3 linked regions of the Drosophila melanogaster genome follow. The protein of the gene in region 1 interacts with the protein of each later gene in a pairwise test. Each region holds a gene or a part of one and is shown on either strand. Other genes may lie near its edges.

Region 1 (3,755 bases):
ACTTCGCCATTCGCACGGCTGGCATGGACGACAAGGCTTCGGCCTGTGAGATGCTGGTTTGTTATGCTAGGGAACTAAAGGAAGGATTTGCCGAATACGCTGAGGACGTGGTGCGTCAAATGCTGCCCATGCTTAAGTTCTACTTCCACGACGGTGTCCGCACAGCTGCTGCTGAGTCGCTGCCTTACCTTCTCGACTGCGCAAAAATTAAGGGTCCACAGTATCTGGAGGGCATGTGGATGTTCATTTGTCCGGAGCTGCTCAAGGTAATCGTCACGGAACCGGAGCCAGACGTGCAGTCGGAGCTGCTGAATTCGCTGGCAAAATGCATTGAGACATTGGGTCCGAATTGCCTTAACGAGGATGCCATGAAACAAGTTCTCGAGATTATAAACAAGTATGTTCTGGAGCATTTCGAGCGTGCTGACAAGCGTTTGGCGGCTCGCAATGAGGAAGACTACGACGACGGTGTGGAGGAGGAGCTGGCCGAGCAGGACGACACAGATGTTTACATCCTTTCCAAAATCGTGGACATTACACACGCCCTTTTCCAGACCAACAAGGCTCAGTTCTTACCCGCCTTTGAACAGGTGGCTCCGCACTTTGTCAAGCTACTGGAGCCCAGCCGACCTGTAGCTGATCGGCAGTGGGGCTTATGCGTGTTCGATGATCTGATCGGTGAGTTGGTTTTCTTAATTGAGTTTTGCAGTTCAATAGTACCGCCGATACCTTCAAACATCAAATCATTTGTGCCACCATAAAACTAAAGACTTGTATTCTCATTTACCTACAGAATTTTGTGGCCCCGCTTGTGCTCCATACCAGCAGATCTTTACGCCAGCCCTCGTCCAGTACGTGTGCGATAAGGCCCCAGAAGTGCGCCAGGCGGCTGCCTACGGATGCGGGGTGCTCGGCCAATTCGCTGGTGAGCAGTTTGCGCATACATGCGCCCAGATCATTCCACTGCTGGTGCAGGTCATCAACGATCCCAAAGCCCGCGAAATCGAGAACATCAGTCCGACAGAGAATGCGATCTCGGCGTTTGCTAAGATCCTCAAGTACAACAACTCGGCGCTGAGCAACGTGGACGAGCTGATCGGTGTTTGGTTCTCATGGCTGCCGGTGTCCGAGGATTCGGAAGAAGCCGCCCACATCTATGGCTACCTATGCGACTTGATTGAAGGCAACCATCCGGTCATTCTTGGGGCAAACAACGGCAATCTGCCGCGCATTGTCTCCATCATCGCTGAATCCTTCTGCACCAAGGTGGTTGAGGCGCAGTCCGCCACCGGCACTCGTATGCTCACTATCGTCAAACAAGTGGAATCGAATCCGGAGGTAATGGCTGCTTGTGCCAGCACCTTGAGCCCGGAACAGCAGCAGGCGCTGCAGGATGCCTACCGGGAGCTGGCAAACGTGGCTCCCGCCTAAGATATCGCAATCCCAATCCTCTTCAGACCAAGTCCATTCATGTCGACCAAGCCAAGAAAGGAACGATGGATGCTTCAGCTACTCGTTATCATTATTTTTCATCTTACCGAAATTTTGAAGTATATGTTTAACACATAGATATCCATTTATACAGATATACATTTATGTGTACAATAGAGTTATCCGGGTATATAATTCTATACATATTGTGATTTTAATCAAAACTCTTCTCCCGAAGACAAAAGTCTGCCTCGTTAGAATTTGATATGTTGTATGGATGCGATCCAAATGCCATCCCAATCACACCCAAATTCCAATAGAATATTTTCGTTACTCAAATTTTCATATGTTTAATACATATGTGTGTATATACGGCCCTAACGGCCGCCTCTCCCTGCGGGGAAAACAGGATGTAAACGTTGTCCGAATCGAACGAAATATAATTTTGTGCATTCAAACCAGGATCGACAAATATATTTAAAGGAATAACATTTATTGTATTTTAAACATGATAAAAACGAAATAAATAACAAGTAAATCGATATTTTAATTGCCACGAGCTTATGTTTTAGTATTGCTTTTTATTATTAACCATTCATTCAATTTCAAATTCGATTCCCGCAAAAGACTTTTCAAAAGTCGTTGTGGCAACTCTGTCTGTGGCAGTGAACATGCAGAGGCCTCCTAAACAGCTGATCTGATTCGCAATGGAAAGTAAGCAAATCAAAACAAAGATGGAAAAACTTGGAACATTCAACTCGAATGGAAAACACACATTTTAACATGTTATTTACGAATTTAAGTGATATTAGGCAAACGATATTCTCACTTTAAAGGTGTGCGACTAAACAGGAGCAGAAAATAATTCGTAAAATTAGTGAGAAAATAGCGAAAGAGAGCGTTTCTCTGTTTGCTTTCTAAATCATTAGGTGACTTGGTGGGCAAAGTGCAGATTAAACGCTCAGAATCAGACGAAACCAAAACCCAAAGGTGAGTGAGTGCAACAGGTAGACGGTGAGTGCAGCGGAAGGGCGGATGCGGTTTCGTTGGCCACAGTTCAATTTAGAGCAGCTGCAGGAGAAGATGTAAAAGCGCGTCATTCCCACTTTGGTGACGCATTTTGGTCACCCTTTTAGTTGGTCGCGGTTGCCCGCCTCGTCGGGATGTATCTCTGCCAGCAAGTTCGTTTACAATATCTTAAATCTCACGAATATTAACAAAATATGTAGTAATTTGCACTATAAGACTTACACAGAACTTTGCGAAAGGGGGATTCATAAGAATAAAGACAGCACATAGAACATGTATACTAACTAAACCATAAATAACCATAGTCATTGACTTTAATAGATTCTTAGTTCTACATACTAAAGTTTTGAGGGCTTTGGTTTTTTGTATAGTATCTAATGTTTCTGTGCTGTTTCTTAGGTATTAAAGGCCGCGATGGCGGAGGAGGAAAGCGAATTCCTGGAGGCCTATGCTGGCATCAGAACAGCCTACAAAGCGGCCATGACTCAGGTGGACCTGGCCGTAAGTCACGAGGAGCAGGAATCCCCCGGCCAGGCCATTGTGGCCTATGAGCTGGCCCTGCGTATGATAGAGGACACCTTCGGCATTCCAGTAGGTCTTCCCAACAAGATCGACACCGTGCAGGCGGAGTGGAACGACGCCTGTGCGCTGATCCAAAAGCTCAAGAGCGCCGAAACGGAATTGAGATACCGCCTCAAAGTTCTGCGATCCCAGAAACAATCCATTGATGATTCAGCCGTGGAGGCCACGGAGGAAAGTCGAGCAGAGATGGATACAAAAAGGCCGCCGTTGCTGGCGGAAAACCCCTCCACGCAATATGGCATAGCCAATGCTAGCGGAGCACCAAAAACCTACAGAGAGCTCGCTGCCGGCTTGCGGGAGCTCTTGGCTGTTCGGGACGCCAAAGTCTTGCTCGATGAGCTCTTCCGTGCACAGGTCAAAATGTACCGAATCGAAGCCAGTGGATCAGTAACCACCATAAGCGGCTCGTCAACTATGTCATTGGTAATGTGCACCGTGGGTGGCAAATGGAAGTACCTCAGTGGCATCTACTTCATTCAGTGCTCCATGCCAAATGAGGGGACTGCAGGGATTTGGCTTTACCCCCTGGTTCCCTCGATCACAAACTGCTACCAAACAGAGTACGGAGCCTTTATTTTTCCTGATATGGAGTGCCAGCAGCCGGGCAATGCATTTGGTTTGATGCTAACGAAGGAGGGCCAGACATCGCGCACGGAGGACGAACTGGAGGATCTTCAGCAGTTCTTTCTTGACCTGTTGGAGGCCGTACTCGC
Region 2 (3,755 bases), about 25 Mb from region 1:
GCCGAATCGAAATAAGTTATTTTATCGCCTAAAGTCTTAACCTAACTAACCTATTATAATTAACTTTTAAATGATATATATTTTGTGTAAAGTAAATATGTGCAACCAGGACGCTAAATGTAACTTTAATTCTACCAACGAAACTTACGTTGGCGGGGGTTTGGTTTTGAAGTGCTTCCGGATTAGAGTACGTCTAAACATTCATTCCTCCAGCCAGGCATGGTATTTAGCAAAGCTTAACCTTCATATTTGGGGCTTCCTGAGGTGCGAGCTGGTTGAAAGTTAAGTAGCTGGCAAAGTAAACAGGCGGTTGTAATTCTATACTGATACTGCAGACATTCGTAAATCTTAGGTATTATAATTCCGGGAAGGGATGACGTATAGATAATTAATGAGGGAGCAAGTGAAATGCAAGACTTGAGTGGAACAGCCTTCGGTTTGAATGGTTTGACTCCCTTTGACTGCCTTTTTGCCGTCCCGCCTGATTTGCATAGTTTGGGGCTGACCGTCTACTCGCTCAATAATGAATGCGTCAGTTTCAAATGGCATTACCCCCGAAAACGAAGTTGATAGTCTGCGACAAGTAGTATGTGCAATGCTATGTGGCACCATAAATAACGTGGCCATTCTAGTGTCGCATTCTGGGTCCTTTTGCTTAGCAATGACAATAGTAAAAGTGCTGAAAGGGAAGCACGATTAGAGCTATTACTTACACTGGCTATGTTTATGTTTTTATATGTACTGTATGCATTCATGGCGCAGCAATTCTGCAAAATTTCTGCATATTTGTTAGGGTGGACCTGAGTTGTACTCATGAGTACTCATACAAATCACTCATACGTAGTGTGGACCTTTTCATTTGATTTTCACAAGGAAAGGCATGTCAGTATCCAAAAGCAATATTAAGTAAAATAAATGTCCTGGTTGGGATCTTACTTTCTCCATAAAAATAAAGTCATGGGATGTTTCCGAAAGAGGAATCGTGTTAGGAATCTATGTTAGCTTGCCTAACAGGTCGTATGAGTAATTTATTAAACGCTTGGCTTTCTTGTTATATCTGATCATTAACTTGTATATAGGCTATGATTCCCCATGAAAGTCCACCCTACGGCACGTACTCCGGTACTTGCACAGGCAATCAATAAAGATTTTTTTTTGGGGAGTTCGGGTGGCGGGTGCTTTGTCGCGATGCGGCAACAACAGCTGTTGCAACGCCAGACGACCCCCCAAAAAAAGGAAAACCGAGCAGCAGCCAGACGCCGGCAACCGGGGAACCTCATCATCGTCATCGTACTCCAGCACCACCCGTTTCAAGAAGCAATCAATGCACTTCTGGCCATGTGCCAAGTTTCTCTTCCGAAAACCTGGAGAGGAGCAGAGAATCGGCCAAAAGAGAGGAGCAGCGGTGTATAAGAGCTGGTTGGGTTCCATTCGGTTGCGGTTGAAAAGCTAAAGTTAATTTAAAGTTCAACCCGTTTGGTTTCTAACTTTTCGGAACTTTAACCGTGTATTTTGGGTTTGGTTTATATAGTTTGGTACAGTAGTAAAAGATACGAAACATTTGCGTTGAAATCAATTTCAAATTGTTGTTTAATTAAGAAGCCAAGTTCCTTATTTACGTAGGTGCTCACAGTGGAATATAAGAAATAATTGTTCCTAAAATAATCCTTTGTACACGAATACAAGAACTTACTCAATAGTTTAAAATGCTTACCTATATTTTTGTAACGAAATATAATTCATTTTACATACAAATAAAAATAAACCGAATTTATTTGCATTCAGCTTGGTAAATAATAGAGTAACTGCGTGACTGCATGCGATGCAAAATTATCTTTGAAGTGCAGACTTTTCGAGTTGTGCCGCGTCACTCGTTTACCCAAGGCACCCACACTGTCGCACTCGCAGACACACACACACACGCATACCAGTGCGGCCGTGTAGCAACAACAATGTTGAGCAAGGTGCGCTGAGCCTCGCTCTTTCGAATCTTTCTCTCCGTTTCGGTTTCAGTTCACTTCTGGCTCTCGTGCAAAGCGCATCGTACAGCGGATATATCGCATCTGTATCGTATCGTAAAACGAATCGTATTCGCATCCGTGTCGGTCGCATCTGCGTGCTAGTGTGTGTGAGTGTGCCCGGGTGTGTGCGAGTTGGTGTGTCCGCTGCAATGGTCTTGGCTATTTGAAGCGCAAAAGTGCAGTATTTACTGTTTGGTGATTCACTCAATCATTAGAATACCCAAGAGATAACTATCATATCTTGGGGTTTTCCCAACGAACCGATCCGATAAAATGGAAACCCTGTAAACTCATGCTCCCCCGCCTTAAAAATCGGTTCAGTGATTTACGTGTGGGTGTGGGTGCAGTGCTTAAATTATACACGTAAAATTTAAACAAATAAAGGCTGTTAAAAAATCGTAAACTCGAGATCCAGCTAGTGCCGAATTCAGTGCTAAAGTGAAACTTCTTTGTGCAAACAACAAAAACCGTTAATTGCCAGCGCCATTCTTTTAAAGGCCCCGACTTATAAAGAGTGTTTTCAGTGCCTATATGGTTTTACTTAAGTCTTTTGTTTATCGTTGTACCCATATTGTTTTCAGTTTATCAATATATAGATAATTATCTAAATGGAGGAGCTTTGTTAATTGATATAACAAGCCTTAAGCGTTAATGTTCCCATCTCATAGGTCCAAGTCAGAAAACCAATCCCCTTTCACTTTAAACAGATCAGAATCCAAGGATTAGGTCGCTTATTCTTTTTCCAAACTAATGAACAATTAAATGGCACGGCGTTGTTGGTCGCAAAGTTTCCATTGCCCGATGCAGAGACCCAAAACCAAAATAAACGGAACCCTTTCACTTTAAAATCCACAGAACCCCAAAGATCGAAAACGAGTTTCGCAAAAGAGCAAAGAGCCGAGCGGCGGCCATGCTTATATTCCATATCGAATAACTGAATAGCCGACCAATAAAGTGTTACTTGGCACATCCAACATCCAACGTTCAACTAGCAATCCAACTTACAATATCCAGCATCCAACTAGCTCCGTTGCATTGGCCTATATTCAAAATAGATCAGAGATCGACTCGAGAGACCGGAGGAGATGTGGATGAGGTGGTGACGAGGAGCTGCGGAGGAGATCGCCATGTGAGAAGAGCAAAACTAGTTTCCCATTTGCGCGCTTATGCTAAGTAATAATAATAAATAAGCGCAGTAGTCTCTGGCTTGCCGTTCGAGAAGTGACCTAAAAATACTGGTTTCGAGTGCGGTTTTGGCGTGAGAACGTGTAGCACAGCGAAGGCACCACCACCACCACCAATGGCCACCACAGCCGCCGGATCAGCAGCCACCACCACCAACACGATGGTGGTGAAGCGGCCAGGACCACCAGTGCCGCCCAGGCCCAAAGCAGCAGCTCAGCTGGCCAATGGAGCAGGAGCCCCTCCGATCATTCAGAAGAAGCCCACCTTCGTGAGCCAGCTGAGTGCAGTGGGTCGTACCTTGGTCTACAAGTCGCCAACGGTCAATCTGCCCAAGAAACAGGCCCAGACCCAGACGCCCACCACGGCGGTGCCAACGCCGCCGGTGAAGCCCCTGAAGCTGCGCAAGGCACCGGATGTGCCCACGGCCAAGCCCAGGGATTCAATGACCTCGGTGGTCACGGTCAACCGGCATAACTCGATAAGCGTGATCGGGAGCACGCCACAGACCACACCCCGCAAGGACACCCGCTTGAGCCTGGGAAAGGTGGA
Region 3 (3,755 bases), on another chromosome or scaffold:
TGTATTCAATTTTGTGTGTGGACCCTTATTATTTATATGACTAATATGACTTATTAATTACTATTATGAAACAGTTGATTTATTTTATTTAAAGCCGATGAACGGAATTAGTTTTAGTAAAAGTTCATCATCCTTGAGTAGTTTGTTGAACTAATGAATTCGCAGACTAATTTGGATGGATATCGATTAATGTAAATTCGTCTACAATAAGTAGTAACAATTATAATACGGTACAAAAACAATTATAACCACAGAATCTATTTCCTATCTAATTAACAAGTTAATTGACGAAGCACCTGATGTTTGATATTGGCAAATATTGAGCATATAGTCACTAATTGGTGATCAAGTGAAATGGGCCTGAGGTATAAGTCGTGCACATAAAATATAGATAAACTCCCATTTAGGTGAGTGTGCCAACCAATTTGGAGGTCACAACAACGACCGTCCTAATGCTCGATGATGAGGTACAGTCGAGCCTGTGTATGTCAAACTTAAGCCGTATATGAAAATAGGATTTATGTGTTATTATAAACGAGTCTTCATAAGCCAGTCCATATCGAAGAGTTCAATATTGATGAAAGCCCAATGTCAATTTATAGAAGCTCCACTGTAGCTGCTGTGGGCACTGAGGAAGGGGAACTGACAGTGGGGCAGATGGCGGCCTGTAATATACTCCTGCCTCCATATCCTTGTGCCGCGTGCACTTGACATTGGCTTTCGAATCGGGTCTGTCGCGGCATTCATGCGCGGCGCACTGGCAGGGGGTTGGGGGTTCCGGGGGCGGAAGGTGCAGCTTTGCCCTGGTAATGGCATAATCGACCCCCTTTCTGGCCCCTTTTCGTTGCGGGGGCTGGCCACGTGCCGTTCTCATTCGGCCGTTTCTGGTTTTCCTGTTTTTCCTGCTGCTGCTGCACTTGCAACAGCAGCCAAAAAACCTTGACATTAAGCAGCGTCGTCGACGAGGCACAAAATCCTGCAATTGTGTGGAAATCGTCCTGCAAAAAAGGCGCTGTACTTGAGCTGTCCAAGCCACATATTTGTGCTTCGAAAAAACCGGGTTCCTTTAAATTGACATTATTACCAATTTTTGATTATTTTCACAGGCATAAAGCCAATATTAAAAATAAAAATCATTGCAATAACCCACTTCTAAACTTCAATACCAATATAGTTGGCTAGAAGAAATTACCTGTCTATATTATTACACATATTGATATATGTATATTTCAGATATATTTCTGATGAATACGACCATCTTAGACAATAGCAATTCGTTAAATATTTGATATCTATATCTTGTTCCTATGACAACTCAGATTAATTACTGGACGTATACGTTCATACTTATGCATATGTAAAGTTCGCAATAATCAATCAAAATGTGCTCCTAAATCGTTTGTGCGCCATCAATTAGTCGGCAGTTATTTTCGGTGACCCCGACATACGAGTGAGTGTAATTGAAATACATGGATGTTCGGTTGCCACAATTGCAATTGAATGCTACAGTTGTTGCTGTTGCCCTGACAAAAGCATAATAACAAAAACACAGATGTTCCGTCAGCAGGTTGCATTTCGAAGAGAGCAGCGGGAGAGGGAAACTCTCTCTTCTCGCGTCGTGCGCAGTGCGCAGGACGTGCAGCACGGCAACACTGGCCATGGAAGTGCGACAAATGTGTGCGGTGGAAGTCCGTTTGTTTATTCGCTTGCGGAACGCGTTTCTCGACGGTTGGTTCGGTCGCAAAGCGGAAGTGCTGGCGCAACGTGCAACATCCGGCGGCAAAGCAGCAAAATGCCAACACAATAAAATCAAAAAGGAACCTGTAAACACACACCTCCAAAGATATATAGTTAAATCATAAAAAAAAATTTACAAAATTATAAATATATAAAAAGTATAGCCGAAATTAGTGTGCGCTTGTTGATCAAATCAAGAATTAAAATAGTATATTGAAAATAATCAAAAATTGTCAAGTGCTTTTCGAAAGTATAAATATCTTAATTAAAACCGTGTTAGACCCCCATTTCGAAATCGATTACAAAGGGTCGAAAAGTTTGTGAAACCGATTCGTAAGTGCCCAAAGAAGTAAAACCCCCTCCGCCAACCTTTCACCTTTCTTTGTGTGCCACATTCTCCTTATGTGTGCCGGTGTGAGTGTTTATGTATGTTAATTAAATTACCGTTATGTGTGCTTACCACAGCAACACACTTACACACAAAAACCAGCTCTATCGCAGTAATTATAAAAAAAACAAAAGAAAAACAAGAATAATACAAAAAACAACAATTACAAAGGCCACTGAAAATCCATTTCCCATTTCCTTGGGCTCCCCCCCCCCGCATTTCCTCTCTACTTTCCCCACTCATCATCGCATGTTTTGCCCGCCCTGACACTTGGGGCATATTTCTGTGTTAACTGGGCTGTGCGTGTGTTTATTACTGCGACTACGGCCATTGGCACGTACATCGGACGGAGTACCCTCAATTCGACGCCCATGTCCTTGCCATGTGCCCTCCTCATACACGCCCCTGCTGGGCACTACTCACAGTTATTAAGCGTCTTATGGCAACTCTCAAAGCGGCCCATAAGTATGCTATAGTTTTTGCTATTCTGCTGAAGAGTTAACTCAGGAATACTTGGAGAAAATTGTAGTACATGAATACATTACATGATAAATATATAAAATAAAATATTTTCATAATCTTTTAAATGGGCAACAACAATAAATTCGCATAAAATAAACCACTATGAATTGTAATGTTCAAAATTTCTGTTGTACTGCAATAAAAAAGAGATTTTAGGTTTTAATGTATGGGCAACTTAATTCGGTACTGGCATTAACCTATCAAAGAGTGTGACGTTTCTCTTCGTGTAGGAGCAGCAGGTGCATTTCACTCAGAATTTCAGGTGATAGCAGTGAGCTTCTGACCAGAAATCAATAGAAAATCAAGCTTTACGCTTATGGATCTAGTTGGGGGTTAGTCAGTCGCCTGCTGCAGCCATATACATACGTCGTTATTGCCCTTTGTTACATTTACCATTTGAGCCACTTTTATGTTCGGCCCTTTGCACATCAAATTGATGATAAATTGCAAATTGCGACCATAAAATCCCCAGAGAGTTATTGAAAAATTTCAGCGAAGAGGTCGTAAGGAACCGATGAAAAGGTATAGCATTTCATATTTATGGTATTTCCTGCCAGCATTTCATTTCAATATTAGGAAAGCAATAGGTATAAAAATGCTCGTGTAGATTAATAAATGTTTTGGAGAAAACCTACCTTGAATGCGAGTACTTTTTTAATTGGCATTAATATTATAAAATACATATTTATTCAAAAGAAATTTATTTTTTCTTTGAGCTAAAGAATCGATCAGTGTGACAACTTATTTTACAAGTTGTTTAAGCTTATTAGTTAAGAAAACCCAATTTTATAGTTTGACAAATGACATTGGCCACCAAATTGCGATTTGCTGTACAGTTTTCCAGCCAGTTTCTTGCACTTTCAAATGTTTGATCTATGCAATCCATCGTTGCAGGGCAAGTTAGACTGAAAGCTTTTTGGAGTCATTATCCCGTATTTCAATTAAGGGCGAAAAAAATTCGCGCTCCACACATAGAACACCAAATTGTACGCTGGCGATGGTCTGGCTCAATTAAACGACAGCGAGTCCTTCGCTGGTCGGAGTTGAGAGGACGAATTCAGAGGATTTCCCGGTATAAGGGATACGGGTGGTGACATCTTCAAATGGC

Evidence for each region.
Region 2: the proteins of spartin (region 1) and CG31038 interact in a two-hybrid assay, tested with the Drosophila melanogaster proteins (one large-scale study listed by BioGRID).
Region 3: the proteins of spartin (region 1) and CG33144 interact in a two-hybrid assay, tested with the Drosophila melanogaster proteins (one large-scale study listed by BioGRID).

What each region holds. Positions count from the first base shown.
Region 1 is NT_033777.3:4,652,659-4,656,413, forward strand, and holds the start of spartin (spartin), read left to right. Parts: upstream 1-2,141; 5' UTR 2,142-2,421; intron 2,422-2,500; exon of another isoform or gene 2,501-2,612; intron 2,613-2,859; 5' UTR 2,860-2,874; coding exon 2,875-3,755. Other genes in the region: Karybeta3 (karyopherin beta 3), read left to right, coding at 1-678, 794-1,431. UniProt on the Drosophila melanogaster protein: During postembryonic development, functions with endocytic adapter Eps-15 in neurons to restrain synaptic growth, by inhibiting BMP signaling, and to control synaptic endocytosis. Required presynaptically for neuromuscular junction (NMJ) neurotransmission.
Region 2 is NT_033777.3:29,875,051-29,878,805, forward strand, and holds the start of CG31038 (uncharacterized protein), read left to right. Parts: upstream 1-2,008; 5' UTR 2,009-2,065; exon of another isoform or gene 2,066-2,876; 5' UTR 2,877-3,321; coding exon 3,322-3,755.
Region 3 is NT_033778.4:10,796,655-10,800,409, reverse strand, and holds the start of CG33144 (uncharacterized protein), read left to right. Parts: upstream 1-1,700; 5' UTR 1,701-2,070; intron 2,071-3,755.